Linked DNA regions of Medicago truncatula. Each later gene encodes a partner of the first gene's protein in a complex. Links are inferred from orthologs where the notes say so. Each region holds a gene or a part of one and is shown on either strand. Other genes may lie near its edges. The genes, in order: NAD(P)H-quinone oxidoreductase subunit S, chloroplastic; NAD(P)H-quinone oxidoreductase subunit N, chloroplastic.

Evidence for each region.
Region 2: NAD(P)H-quinone oxidoreductase subunit S, chloroplastic (region 1) and NAD(P)H-quinone oxidoreductase subunit N, chloroplastic share a complex: the UniProt entries of both Arabidopsis thaliana proteins name them as parts of the chloroplast NDH complex. The link is inferred for Medicago truncatula from reciprocal best matches to the Arabidopsis thaliana genes NdhS and NdhN.

What each region holds. Positions count from the first base shown.
Region 1 is NC_053049.1:12,186,531-12,192,497, forward strand, and holds NAD(P)H-quinone oxidoreductase subunit S, chloroplastic, read right to left. Parts: upstream 1,610-5,967; 5' UTR 1,363-1,609; coding exon 628-1,362; 3' UTR 534-627; downstream 1-533. Other genes in the region: methionine adenosyltransferase 2 subunit beta, read right to left, coding at 1,925-2,056, 2,227-2,357, 2,627-2,750, 2,956-3,143, 3,245-3,404, 4,796-5,014. UniProt on the Arabidopsis thaliana protein: NDH shuttles electrons from NAD(P)H:plastoquinone, via FMN and iron-sulfur (Fe-S) centers, to quinones in the photosynthetic chain and possibly in a chloroplast respiratory chain.
Region 2 is NC_053044.1:31,880,703-31,888,523, reverse strand, and holds NAD(P)H-quinone oxidoreductase subunit N, chloroplastic, read right to left. Parts: upstream 2,640-7,821; 5' UTR 2,502-2,639; coding exon 2,094-2,501; intron 1,579-2,093; coding exon 1,462-1,578; intron 1,222-1,461; coding exon 1,136-1,221; intron 897-1,135; coding exon 833-896; 3' UTR 545-832; downstream 1-544. UniProt on the Arabidopsis thaliana protein: NDH shuttles electrons from NAD(P)H:plastoquinone, via FMN and iron-sulfur (Fe-S) centers, to quinones in the photosynthetic chain and possibly in a chloroplast respiratory chain.

The DNA.
Region 1 (5,967 bases):
TTCTTTTTTTTTTTTTTTTGGTCAAGAGAATATGTTTATTTCTAATAAGTGAATCATTAAATTTCGTCTAAGGTTTAATCCTAAAATATATTTTTTCAATAATTTAATCCTGAAATCATCAATCTTATATAAAATTAAACAATAACAATATCGATAATCATTCAAAATTATCATATCATTACAATATTTGACTTTATTGCAATAACTTTGAAAGTAGCACATAAACTGATTTTGTTCTTAACAGAAACCGTAAGTTGTTAATACTCCATCCATTCTTTACATGAACATGTACCAAAATTAAAGAGTATTAAGAAAGGTTCAGCACAATGAAATACTCTTTTAGCACCAACGTCACATCAAAGGTGTCCAGTGTCCGACACTAACATATGTAGTTACATTTAATTACTTTTATTTTTCAAATTATTATTACTACTTTAACATGTCTGTGTCAACGTAGTGTCTACTACATGTGTGCTTCATATCTTTTTACCTTAAACTTTTTTTACTTCTAAATAAAAGATCAAAGCAGCAAATGAAATACACAACTAAGATTCAATTGTCAGAAACATGTAGTATGATACAAAAGTGAACATGTTTTGTTACACAATAACAACAAAGAGCTGAAAACTATGATTTCTTTACAAGAAATGGTTCAAGAACGCAAGACTTAGGATTCTTCATAGGAGGACCTTTTTCTCTTCTCTCAAGTTCCTCAAGCCTAAAGGTGATCAACTTATCCCAATTCCCTCCTTCAAACAGTACTCCTGCTTTACCATCAGTGATTCTTTGAACAATACCACAGTACATGTAAAAAGGATTATTTTGATTCTTCACAATAGCAATCATTCCTGGAAGTAACATAGGAAGTTCCGGTGGTTTTGGCTTCTCCGATGAAGAAAGTTTAAGGCTTTTGTTTCCTTTAACAGTTTTAGGAAGAGGGTTCTCTTCAATGAATTTTTTCAAACCTTTTTCACCTCCAGGAAATCCTCCGGTTAACCCCATTAACTCTTTATCAAACCCGTCTTCTGCAACACTTTCAAAGGATTTTGTTGAGTTACTTGTTGAGTCTTCTTGTTCTTTGTCACTTGCTTCTGATGATGTTGGCTGATTCTGATCATCAAGACCAACTTCTCTTTTAAGCTCTTTTTGAAGACCTTCTTCTCCTTTGCAGAGACCTCTGCCTCCCATGATCTGCAGCAAGTCGAATTTGGCACATGTTTGTACTGTTTTGAAGGTCGGTTTGCTGTGAAAGATGGAAGCTTTATTGCTGTGAGGATAAAGATGAGTGAGGTTCTCTTGGCCTAAGAATTTGGATCTAAGAAGAGAGCCATGAAGGCTATGAAGAGCAACAAAGGAAGACATTTTTAATTAACTGTTCAGAAAATTGGCTGAAAACAACATTAGAGAGAGGAGAAAGAGGGATGGATAGCATAGTTTCAGAATCTAATCCTGGCCACAAAATTATTGGATAGGCCTATCTTTTTATGAAATGAAAAACTATCAGAAAATCTTCTTCCAATTTAATCTTGACCACAAAGTATATTCTTTGGACCAAATTTGCCTATATGAGGAAAGAATTTTTTTGCAACATAACCTTATGATTAAATTCATTTTAGCATCAAATTAAAGTAATCCAAACACACAATTTATCATGAGAAATTATAGCAGTGAAAAGCCAAGGCAACATATTTTCAAGCCTAATGAAAAGTATGACATAATTCCCATGATAATGACACATGATGGAAAGAGTGTGTTACAATGATGACCCACTATTTCCATTCTTGGTATTTTCAAGAATTTACATAGATTTATTTTACAGCAATCTAAATGCAGTAACAACTATTGAGAGCACATGTCATTTTTAATGGTGAACAACGATACTCAAATAAACAAGGAAGCCTTATACGACAAGTTTGTTTCTGCCTCACTGTTGAGCTTCAGTTGTAAGCGTTAATTTAACACCGTCTTTAAATGAAACAGGATTAATATTTAGAGTTTGAACCAATCTAGTGATATCCATAGATATGTCAGCCGGGGACTTCACACCTCGGTCAACCTGGAAAAACAATAACGAAAACTCAAAAATGTCGCAATAAAGAACAATCAAAGACGAGCAGATAAATCATATCATGTTACCAAACTGATCAAATTGACATCAAAAGATAAATGAAAAGCTTTGAATTCCACATCACAAAATTTTAGTTATAAATGAAGCATAACACATACCGTTGAAGCAGAGACTGCTTTGATTAATGAGGTATCATACCCTCTGAATTGTGCAACAGCGTCAGCCATTTCAACGCGCGATACCCTATCAGGTCCACCGGCATTAAGTAACAACTGCATTTGCTTTCCCTCTGTGACAAGAATCAGAAATCAAATCATGAAAGCGAATTTGAGACCCCTCAAGTTTAAAGAACACATGAAAGTGAAAATGTCGTACATAATTGTAAAAGAGTTATAAGATATAAACAATTTTCATAGATAAGGATTGACCATCTCCAATAAAAGTGTTTTGAAACCTTAAAAAAGATCTAACTGAAAATCAGTTTCATTAAGAATCTCTTTTTGCAGCGTACCACATGTTTAAACAATATACACGAGTTATTTACAAAAAGTTCTGTACCTGATAACCACTGGCTTGTTAAAGCTAGTATGATAGTTACGAGATCCTTAACGAAAATTGGACAACGGAACTCGTCGTGAAAGAAATTCACCTTTTCTCTTTTAGAAAGGGCACTGTCAATCCACTGCAATAATAAGAGATTTTCTCAGTTATTTTTTTTATTGCAGACGGAAAAATGGTGAGCCAAACACTACCACCGTCTTTTAAGAATTCATCATGCAATAAGTAACAGAATTTGCAAGCATCATTCACATTTCAAGTTTCATCGATCCTAATGCTGGAAGCATTAGTTTTCAAATAAAGTATAATTCTATATACTGCACATGCACCTGAATAGGAAGAGATTTTGGAACTGGTGAGACAGTTTGTGGCCCATAGATGATACTGCTTCTCAAAATCGCAAAGTTTGGGAAGTTTTCTGAAATGAACTTCTCTGCTGCCACTTTAGTTTTTCCATAAACATTTACTGGAATAGGAATGTCTTCTTCCTTGTAAAAGGACTTCTCACCTTCGTAAACTAATGAGAAGAAACATAAATTGCAGTTTAGCTATCAAAGTGAAAATGAGCATGGTTATAGATAGCAATGCAATGTATTGATTGCGATTAGATTGGTTTACCTTGATCTGTGGAGAGATGAATGAGAAGAGTACTGTTCTGTTTAAAGCTTTGCAACCATTTTACGAGGGATGACGGCACATTAATAGCATTTGCAGTATCAGGATCATTTTCACAAGCACGAGGCACCGAGATGGCAGCACAATTGACAACCACATCAGGCTGCCATTAACAAACAAACAGAGAATTGTCAATCCAATATTAAAAGCTTAAACTCTTATTTGTAAGCAACTGGCATCTATCCAACTTATAGATGTTTGAAAATTTGTTACATAAAAGACCAAACCAAACATGCTTTATCTCTTTATTTCTGCGAGATACATGCGTTTGCGTAGCACACAAATCCATTTTCATACTGGTATAGCAAGAATAATGAGTGACTATCAAATTGAGAGGTAAAGGAGATAACAGCCTTTTTCTTATATAAACACGAACTCTGAAACTTCAAAAGCATGTAGCGTTAGATTTATATTTTTTTAATGGGTTTGTCTAACATGTGCAACATTGCACATGTTAAAGAAACTAAAAGTAGCAACTTTTTATTGAAAAACCACAAGTATTTATTAAAAAGTTATATATTTAATATAAAATGTTCAAGTTCCAATACAAACTTACTACTTTAAATTTCTTAACATGTGCAAGTTTGCAGATGATAGAAAAACCCTTTTTTAATTAAATTCAACTTCAAGTATGAATGAAAGTAAGGGCTGCTAATGGAGGAAGTGCATGTTTAGGGTGAATGGAAGATAAAATGTGTTCATTTTTAACTAGCAAATAAGAAGACATGTTCACTTTAACTTACTAATAAGAAGATGAGAAACTTTTGATTTTGAAGTTAGTCAATGTAATGAAGAGATGATATAAAAAAAAATAAAAAAAAGTAGCTAGGGTGATATGCATTTTTGGAAGTAAGAATACATGTTCAAACATTCTCCTTTCTCTTTATTAACAAGTGAAACAAAAACAACCAAGCCCGTCTAGCTCAGTTGGTAGAGCGCAAGGCTCTTAACCTTGTGGTCGTGGGTTCGAGCCCCACGGTGGGCGAATTTTGTTTTTTTGTTAAAAAAAAAGTAAAACTAACACAAATTTATGAAAAATAAAAAATATTTTTAAAAAGTAAACTGCATTGATTTTCCAACTTGTAAAAGTACTTTTGGTAAATTTAGACTAAATTGTTATCTCAAACATAGCATATACGACTTCAATTCAATCTTACATACACTAACATGTTTGGATAAACAGTTTAAGTAGGTGCTTATAGTATAATCTCTTATCACAAAAGTGATTTTGTATAAAATATTTATATAAAAAAGAAATATATTTTCATATAAGCTATAAGCTGTTTTCATAAGTTATCCTGGTTCAAGCTTATGAAAATAAGTTGAAAACAACTTCTGCACATATCATAAACTGGTAGATAAACTAAACAAACTAATCCGTATAAATCAGTAAGTCATATTACAATTTGCAATGAATCAGATCAAGCCCATTAATAAAAATCATGTTTTGTCACGACCCAATTGAATTGTAAGTTAGAAAAGTGAGAAAAGAACCTGGCCAAAAGCATTGGAAATGGCATCAAATCCAATGCCAGATTTCAAATCGACTTGGAAAGATTGAGAATCAGGAAATGCATCCAACAAAGGTTGAAGAAGAGGAGAAGAGTGATAGGTGAATGCCACTGTCAGAGATTGATTAGAATAATAAGATTGTAATAGATGCTGACCCAAGTAACCTGTGCCTCCCACAATCAATATCTTCTTCTTACTCATCACTTCTCTTCTTGTTTCTTTTTTGTTTACTTTTGATTGCTTTCACGTTGTAGTAATTGTAATGGTCAATGTTTTGTGTCTGAATTCTTTTATTATTTTTTTTTACATTTTCGTAGGATTAGGCCTATGTTTGTGGGTACATTTTCTTTTTAATCGTGTTTTTAGTCTCTACAAAATCATGAGTTTTCAAATTTAATGTTTATAAAATTTTAATGGTGATTTTAATTCTTTAAAATATTATAGTTTTTTTTTTTTGTGGTGGTCGGAGTTCGATTCCCGAACCTTACATATATAATGCATTGTTCATATCAATTCAGTTAAGTTCACGTGAACTTCAAAATATTATAGTTTGTAAGAATAGTTTTTATTTTGAAAATATTTTATATTTTTAGTTCTTTAAAATAGTCCCTATAAATAAAAATAGAAATTAAAATGAATAATTTTTTGTAATAACTCAATTTGAAAGCTTGTAATTTTGTAAGAATTAAAAACATAAATTGAACAAAGGTTTTTTTTTTTTAACAAGTCAAGAGAGAATTAAATATAACCAAACCAAATAGTAGCTTCCAAGCATAAGGTGTGTCTAGAACCTCCTAAAGTACAACAAGGAATGTTAACAACTACACGAGAACACCATCGGTGTTAGCCAATGCTCAAACAAGCTAAACAACTTGACCACCATCTCTGGCCAAATACAAACATGACATTTTTGGCTTTCAGCCATCCCAAAGATAACAATTTAACTTTATCTAACATACAAGGGACTAAGGTTACAATATTATTAAACAGTCGGTTGTTTCGTTCGTTCCAGACAACACAAGAACACATGAGCCAAATTAGCTCCAAGAACGAACGTTTAGCTTTACAAACACCTAACATATAAGTAAATTGCAACAAATGGTCGGAAATATTTTTAGTATCGACCCCCACAACGCCAATCCAAACACGAACAA
Region 2 (7,821 bases), on another chromosome or scaffold:
AGAATGACACAAAGTTAGTCTCTAAGACTGCTAATAATTCAAATATGTCCTCGACCTTGCAAATTGTCTTGCAGATTAGTCTTTTTCGAACGTAATTCGATAGATTGAAATTATTGTAGTAATGGACTAAATGTAGAAGACCAATTTAAATATGAAGGTAAGTTATAAAAGTAAGAGTTCAATTAGCAAAGCCGGGTTTTTTTTTTTAAAATATTAATAATTTTAGGGACTAACTTGTCACTACCTTACAGAATCAGGAGCCGTTTTGATGGTTTACTCGGAATGAAAGTTTTGGTTACTAGTTTGCATATCAGGACTGGGATTCTACCCGTGCAAAGTTTTAGCACCTCGGCACAAGCGCAATCAATTATGCGATGTCCCTACCAGCCGAGCTAAGCTCACAGGGACCAAAACATAATTAATCTATTGTGATGTGAGGGCAAATTAATTCATATTCATATGAAGACAAAAAGAACGAAGGACGTTTGGTTTTATAGTTGGTCAAATTACTGCAAAACTTCCATTTAGTTCATTCAAACCAGTGTTTTTTTCACATCTAGAAATGTCACATTGCAAATCTATATAATTTCTTGAAATATCATCTTTGATGAAAATGTTTGTGCCATGACAAAATTAAACCTTGAGAATGTACATATCACTCATGGTTGTGGTAAATCTAATTATTTACAATGATATTCATTCATCGTTATATATCTTTTGGTGTATTTTCTTATCTGCAAAGTGCCTTGAGTTGGAAGTTCAAGCTTGAAGACAGATGAAAATATTCCTACTTGGTTGTTGATGCTTGGAAAATCAAATGCATCATCATCTATCAAGCTTCCTGACTAGTGGTTAGTCCAGCAATTTCGTTTAGCGGCTTCCACATAAACTTTCTCCTGATCATTCACATAAACAAACATTAGAATGAGATTTCATTGTGGAGAAGCTCTTATTGCTAGATGTTAATCCAAACTAGACCTTGCATATAAAGGTGGAAATTTAAACTGAAGTAAATTGGAGTCCTCAAGCACAAGTTTTGCAACAGAGAGCACTGATAAATATCAAAAGAAATAAGCAAAGAAGAATAAAAACTGTAAAATCTACAAAAAGGTTATTAGAAAATTTGGCATCCTACCAATTTCCACATTCAGCAATGACCCTCACATTAGGCCTTAGTGTTGGCAGCAGAGCAAGGAATTGTAGTTCAGCCTTGGAGAGAACCTAAGCAACATCCGAAGCAACATTTTAGTACAGCAGCCATTCAAAAAAAATAGGTGGGTTTGTGCATTGTCCTAGAGATATAATAATAATACAAATAATTCACCCTACTTCATCTAAAAGCATTTTGAGATGGTGTACTTATAATAAATTTCAATATGAGAAAACATAAAAGCAATAATCATTCTGTTTTAAGTATGTGAGGGGTATTTTAATGTAATAAAAGTAAAGCATAATCCACACCTTAGCTTCAATGATCCACACCACCAGTCCTTTGGCATTTGGTGGTAATGCTTCCAATCTGTAATCAACTTCTGGTGGGAAATACCACCTTGCTATTGGTTGCTTTCCTAAATGAGCCTGGGATTCATGAAAAAATTCCATGTAGTGTAAACTTGAGTAATAATCTATGAAGCACTAAGACAGAAACATTCATTAGACACGACATTGACACTTACACGTAGAAACTAATAACAGTTTGAGAAAATGAAAGTTATAGAATGTAACCACACCACATGTATCGTTGTACTATTGATGTCATACAGTGACACATGCCAGACACACTTTCAATCTTAAGTGTTGGTATGTACTACATTGGTAATAATAGCTATTAATCATTAAAAGCCGAAAAAGTATTTTAAAGGAGCAAACAACTATTTTGGTTCTTGAATATGTGTGAGGCGCTATATATATCACTATATAGTTTCTAAATGTATCGAAATTGCAAGCATGCCCACAAGAGTATCTTTTATCATTCATTTTGATACTCGAATCTATTTTTAGGTAGTCAATTTAGTCCTCAAATATGTTTTCCCTAGGTCAATTTCGTTCGTTCATAAAATTAATAAGAAAAGAGACACAAGGTATGTACTTACAGGGCAAACAGGGTGAACTTTGGTGAGAGTGGTTTCAGGATCACCAAGACCACGAGCTGTAAGATCAAGAAAATAGTAACCTTGACGTTGAAGACGCGATAAGTAACGTCCTTCATACCCTCCTTCATGAGGAGTATATATTGCAAGTGCTTTATGTTCTTCAACATCTGAAAGCCAACGTCCAATATCAAATTTAACCAAATCTCCTCCAATGAAGTCACCTAATCCTATTCCACTACTGCATTTCACTACCCTTTTACTTCTGTTACTGTTACATTGTTTTCCTCTCCAACCCATCATCAATCTTACACTGTTGTTATGATTTTCAGCCATGAAGCTGTTCCTTGGTGGTTGCTGAATGTTAGAGCATGTTGGTCCTCCACAACCTAAGCTTGCAGAGGCTAACATTTTTGTTTTGTTTCTTTCTTTGGTGCTAATGAAGAAATTTATTGTTGAATAATGTACATTTTTTTTTTTATTTCTTCGTAAGTTGAAAGATAAAGAAACATTGGTTAGAAATTGGAAATTAAGACTGAGGATGAATGATATTAGTTGTATGGTGGAGAAATGAGATAAAGTCTTGTCTTCACTTGTAACCTTCAATTAGAGATAGTGGCATATCATCATGTAGTGAAACTATTCACTTATTCACTCTTATTATTTGTTTTCACCTTTAGTATAAAAAAAGTGAGTGTTGTTAAAGATTTAGATATTTAAATACTTATTTTATGATATTAGTGAACTAATAAAATGATATTAAGTACTACTTTAATTTATAATACTTCAAATAATATATAGTACTAGGATTTATCAGATTAAGAAAATCAAGAGAGAAGGAAGTAGGATGATATGTTTTGATTTCTCAAAAATGATGCACGTTTACATGAATCAAAGTGTGGTATTTATACTACTAAATTTACCACTATTACATATGTAAAATTATTTGTTTGACTATTCTAATTTGACGTTTAGTAATTGATCCTTACTATTATAAGTTGACGTTATGAATAGATATTTCAACCTAAATAGTAAGAACTAAAATTATAGGATAATTTAAGTTTTTATAATTTCTTATATCAAGTGCATTATTTATTTTTATTTTTTTTTAAGGAAGTGAATGCATCCTTATTACATGCCAATTTGTTGTGATTTTTTTTTCCCCATACTTTTTGGGCACCTTTCTTCTTTCTTTTTTTCAAAAATACCTCCATTTGAATTTTAGAATCCAAAATGTGTTTTCATAATCCATATGCATAATGAAACCATGAAAAAACATGACTAACACTCCATTAAATAAAATTCAACAATGTAATTCATCACCATCATCATCAACAATAACAATAACAACAACAACAACAAAAATTAAAAACATCGGTTAAACACAAACAAGATCATGGACAAGGCAAGCTAGTTTCTTAATTAGGTTCAACCATGCACGCTACAATTTCTTGAAATATCCTGAGACCAATAAAACTTACCCGAAAATATTGATAGATCTCAATAAGGAAGCGTCTATCTCGATTGGTTCCTTGGAACTATATTGATCAAATATAGGGAACAGTTTTCACATCATCGTCGTTTTAAAGTTTCATCTTAGTGAATCGAACGTGTTCATCTAAATCAATTAACGGAGGATGATACTCAACACTAACCAAACTTCTTATAGCAACATCGTTGAAATAATCACTCAATTTTTCCTTTAAATCAAATAACGTAACACCAACATTGATCATAAACAAACCAAAATTTTCATTGTTGTAGTAAACTGCAACTATATGTGTTAAACGGTGCCAAGTCTAAAATTTCGCTCTCCTAAATAAAATGATTTTGCTGATTTACCACGTGCGGCACTGCGTATTTTAAATTAGACAAAAAAATTGATTATGGTTCTGAATGGTGACGGTGAAGGAGAAGTGATTCAAATCATCCAAAAAAGTGGTCCTAGACATCAACCTTCAACCAATAATAGAATAAAAATGATATTTGAACATGTGACAACTTTCCCTCTTATATTTCTATTATCTTTTACTTTATCTTTTTATTACTTTGATTTTTGTGCAACTTCCTACTATTTCTTTGTAAATTATGTTGTCCCACAAATTATCAACCAAATTAATTGTTTAAATAACACTCCTAAGATTCTGATAAATTTTTTTACTAACGTAACTGACGGATAAACATGAAGAAGTGGTCCTGCATCAGTAATGACATCAACTTTCAACTAATAATAGAATAATAAATCTTAACAGACTCTAGCACTTTATAGTAATGTTTATTTAGAGGTTTTATAGAACTTTATAATTTAATTACATGAAAAACCAGGGGAACATGTCCAATCCATTTCACGAACATCAACCATTAAAAATTACTACGTAATATACTAATAATAGGTCAAAAAGTGAACGATATGTTCAATTGTACTTGCATCTCGAACTTTTCGAGGAACTGGTTTAGTTTTTAAGTGAGTTCAGTTACACTGATAATATTCTAGTATATTCGAACTAAGGTCTAAGTATTGCCTCAAGAAGAAGACCATTTTAAAAACCTAAAATGGTACTCGTAACAACGTATGTGGAGCCTTAAAATAAACCCACCGCAAGTAGCAATAAAAAAGACAATATTTTACATATGTAAAACCTATTTCAACTAGTAATCTTGATCTTGTCAAAAAAAACTAGTAATGTTGATAATATTCATATAAACATCTTCATATGTTTGAATTATGGAGATCACAATTCAACAAGTTGAGTTTAGCAAAAGAGTTATATTATTATCACATCATTGTGTGCCAAAATTTGAATGAATCCCGATTAAAAGATGTATTAATATTTAGTGTCTGATATGTCTTAAACAATATTATTTTTAGTGGAATGAAACATAGAAAACAACGATGTATTAAAATACAAATTTAATCTATCAATTTTTTTTTAAGAAGCTAAAAGAGAATCAATATATATAATAAAAAACAAAAAGAGAAGGAAGTTAAACCTAAGATGTGCTTAAAAATGGCTCACAACAGTGTCACAAAAAACCGAAATAGAAAAGGAAGAAGATAAAGAGCCTATAACGACAACACAAGGTGATAAATCCTAAACATACGAAGGATTCGTCCGACAATCATAAAGATCAAAACCAAAATTGTGTTTATGAGTCTTCAACCATCACAAAGAATATGTTTTCACCCTCTTGAGCATTTAAGCAATGGATGCTTTCAATTAATCTATTCGGTTGATTTTTGGCACTTCTTATGCTGATTTTCCATGCTTTTGATTTTATATTCCATTTTATCTTCTTCAAAAAAAAAATCTATTTAATTCTTAATCATAATCCGTCTATTTCTTTTTAAGTACCATTTTTGGAAATTTTGTTCTTATTTATTTATCTTGTTTAAAGGTCAATGCAACTTTAACTATTGCTTTATTAATAATACGCTCTAATTATTTATTTATTTATTTATTGGGAAATGTTAACGAGTGCTTCCGAGACATTCTTTGAGACTTTTATATGGTAACTTTTTTTGAAAATTTATGTAATCAATGCATCGAAAATCAAAATATTTGACTTTTTATGAAATAATTTATTCTCTTAAAATCCTTAAAGAGTGTCCCGGGAGCACTCGTTAACAAGACCCTTATTTATTTAATTGATGGTAATACTTTAACTTCTTTTTTTAAAGGTTCAAATGAAATATATTACCAACTAAGATAAGACATTTTAGCACAAAATGTACCGAAAAGATTTATAAAAAAACAAAGTGATATTACAAATCAAACCAAAGCAACAAAAGAGAAGAAACGAGTAAATTACAACAACTAAACAAAGAATAAGATTCAGCCTCCAAAGATGGTTGTCAAAATTAAAAGCAACATATTTTGATTTTAAACACTAGAATGATTGAAGCTTAAATTGTTCACTTAATTATTGTAAATGTTCCACCATGTGCTGGAAAATACACATATTTCGCTCTTTCCAAATGATCCAAACCATAGAAGTATAAATAACACTAAGTGTCAAGCTAACAATTTTCGAATAGCTCCGAACCTAACAAACTACAGTAACACTGATCCAATAAATTCTCATGAGATGACGTTGAGAAGCCTAGTCAACTTGAAATAAGAAACCAAATTCTTCCATATAAATCACACTTAACAAATAGGCGATCCATGTCTTCTATTAAACCGCAGCCTGCTGAACAATATTGATCATTTTGAGGAAAAATCTTCCGCCTTACCAAGTTATCCTTAGTCGGAACATGGTTTAGTAACAACCGCAAAAAAAAAAAAAAAAAAATTAGTTTAAGCAAATCAAACCTGATTATTCACCAAAGGAATGTTGTCCTCCGCCCAGGCCGTATCTGAGGTAGAGTGAGTAGGGTGACCGTCCTATGCCCCAAAAAATAAGTACGAAATTACTTTAACAATATTGACATTATTCAATTTTATTCTCTTATATTTTTTTATGGTTTTGTGTGCATGCCCAAATATATTTATTTTGACTTGTGCCCAAGTAAGTATATTTCCCCGTATGAAATGTTTTGTATAAGCATTTGAATATTAAATAAAAAACTCAATTTTTTTTATGAATTTTGAATTTTTGTAAGGTCATTTCTTAACGTGGTAAAAACTATCATCTTCAAAACAAATTATTTTTATACTTTGAAAATTTAATTATTTTTATATACTCATAATTTATGACTCAAACCGTATATTCGCTCTAAACCACCAAATTTTATAAAACGGCCATGCTTCTACCGCAGTCAAGTAATTATATGGAGCTTGGTCAATCTCTGCAACTATATTTTGAAAAACTTTCTGCGACAAATATATAGACATGATTTAATTTGAGAGAAAAAAGCAAAAACAAAACATCACGAATGTCAACAAAGTAGAACGTTGCAGCTTCAAGTTCCAACTCCGTCCCTTTCAAAAAAAGTTCCAACCTCTGTCGTGACAAAAACAAAGATTAAGGGTGATTTTCTAATGCCAGTTGCATGCATTGTGCACCTTCATCCAATATTTAATTTCAACATTCAAGCTGAATCAAGCACGCTGTAAAACTGGAATATTAATCAGTATTGTCAATCAAGTAGTATTCTATCCTATAAAGTAAAGGTTCTGCTTACTAGTGTCCTAAGAACACCGATTAAAGAATCATTTAATATAAATTTTATTCTGAAAATAAGAGTTTTTGTTTTTGTTTTAACAATTACTACACAACGAGTAACAAATACAAAAGGACCAAAGAACAAAGCCACCTCATTACAGATAGATAACTAAACATGGTAAATGATTCAACCACGACAAATGGTAAGAGAAAGCAAAGCTAGGACGGTTCTCTTTCAGCCACCAGTATGATTAAAGCTTAATTTTGTCGAGTAATTGATGAGGCGAGGTCTCTTATTGATGAAAGACCCGAGCATTTCTTTCAATCCAAATCACTCACACACAAAATGGTCATATGAGGTTAAAAGTTGAGCGAATACTTTGGAAAAACTCGTCTCCTAAGGTGCCAAATTGATTTAAATGATCTGACACATGTTCAGGATACACTATGTGGAAACTAAGCCAATTAGATATATTGTACCAAAGTTTACAAAAGAAATCACAAGAGAGGAATAAGTGCTCTGCATCTTTCAGTATCTCATATCCACCCCCACACATAACTGAGCATTTGGTTGTAAAATTTGTCTTTTAATTGAATTGCCTTATGTTGGTACCAAATTACACAG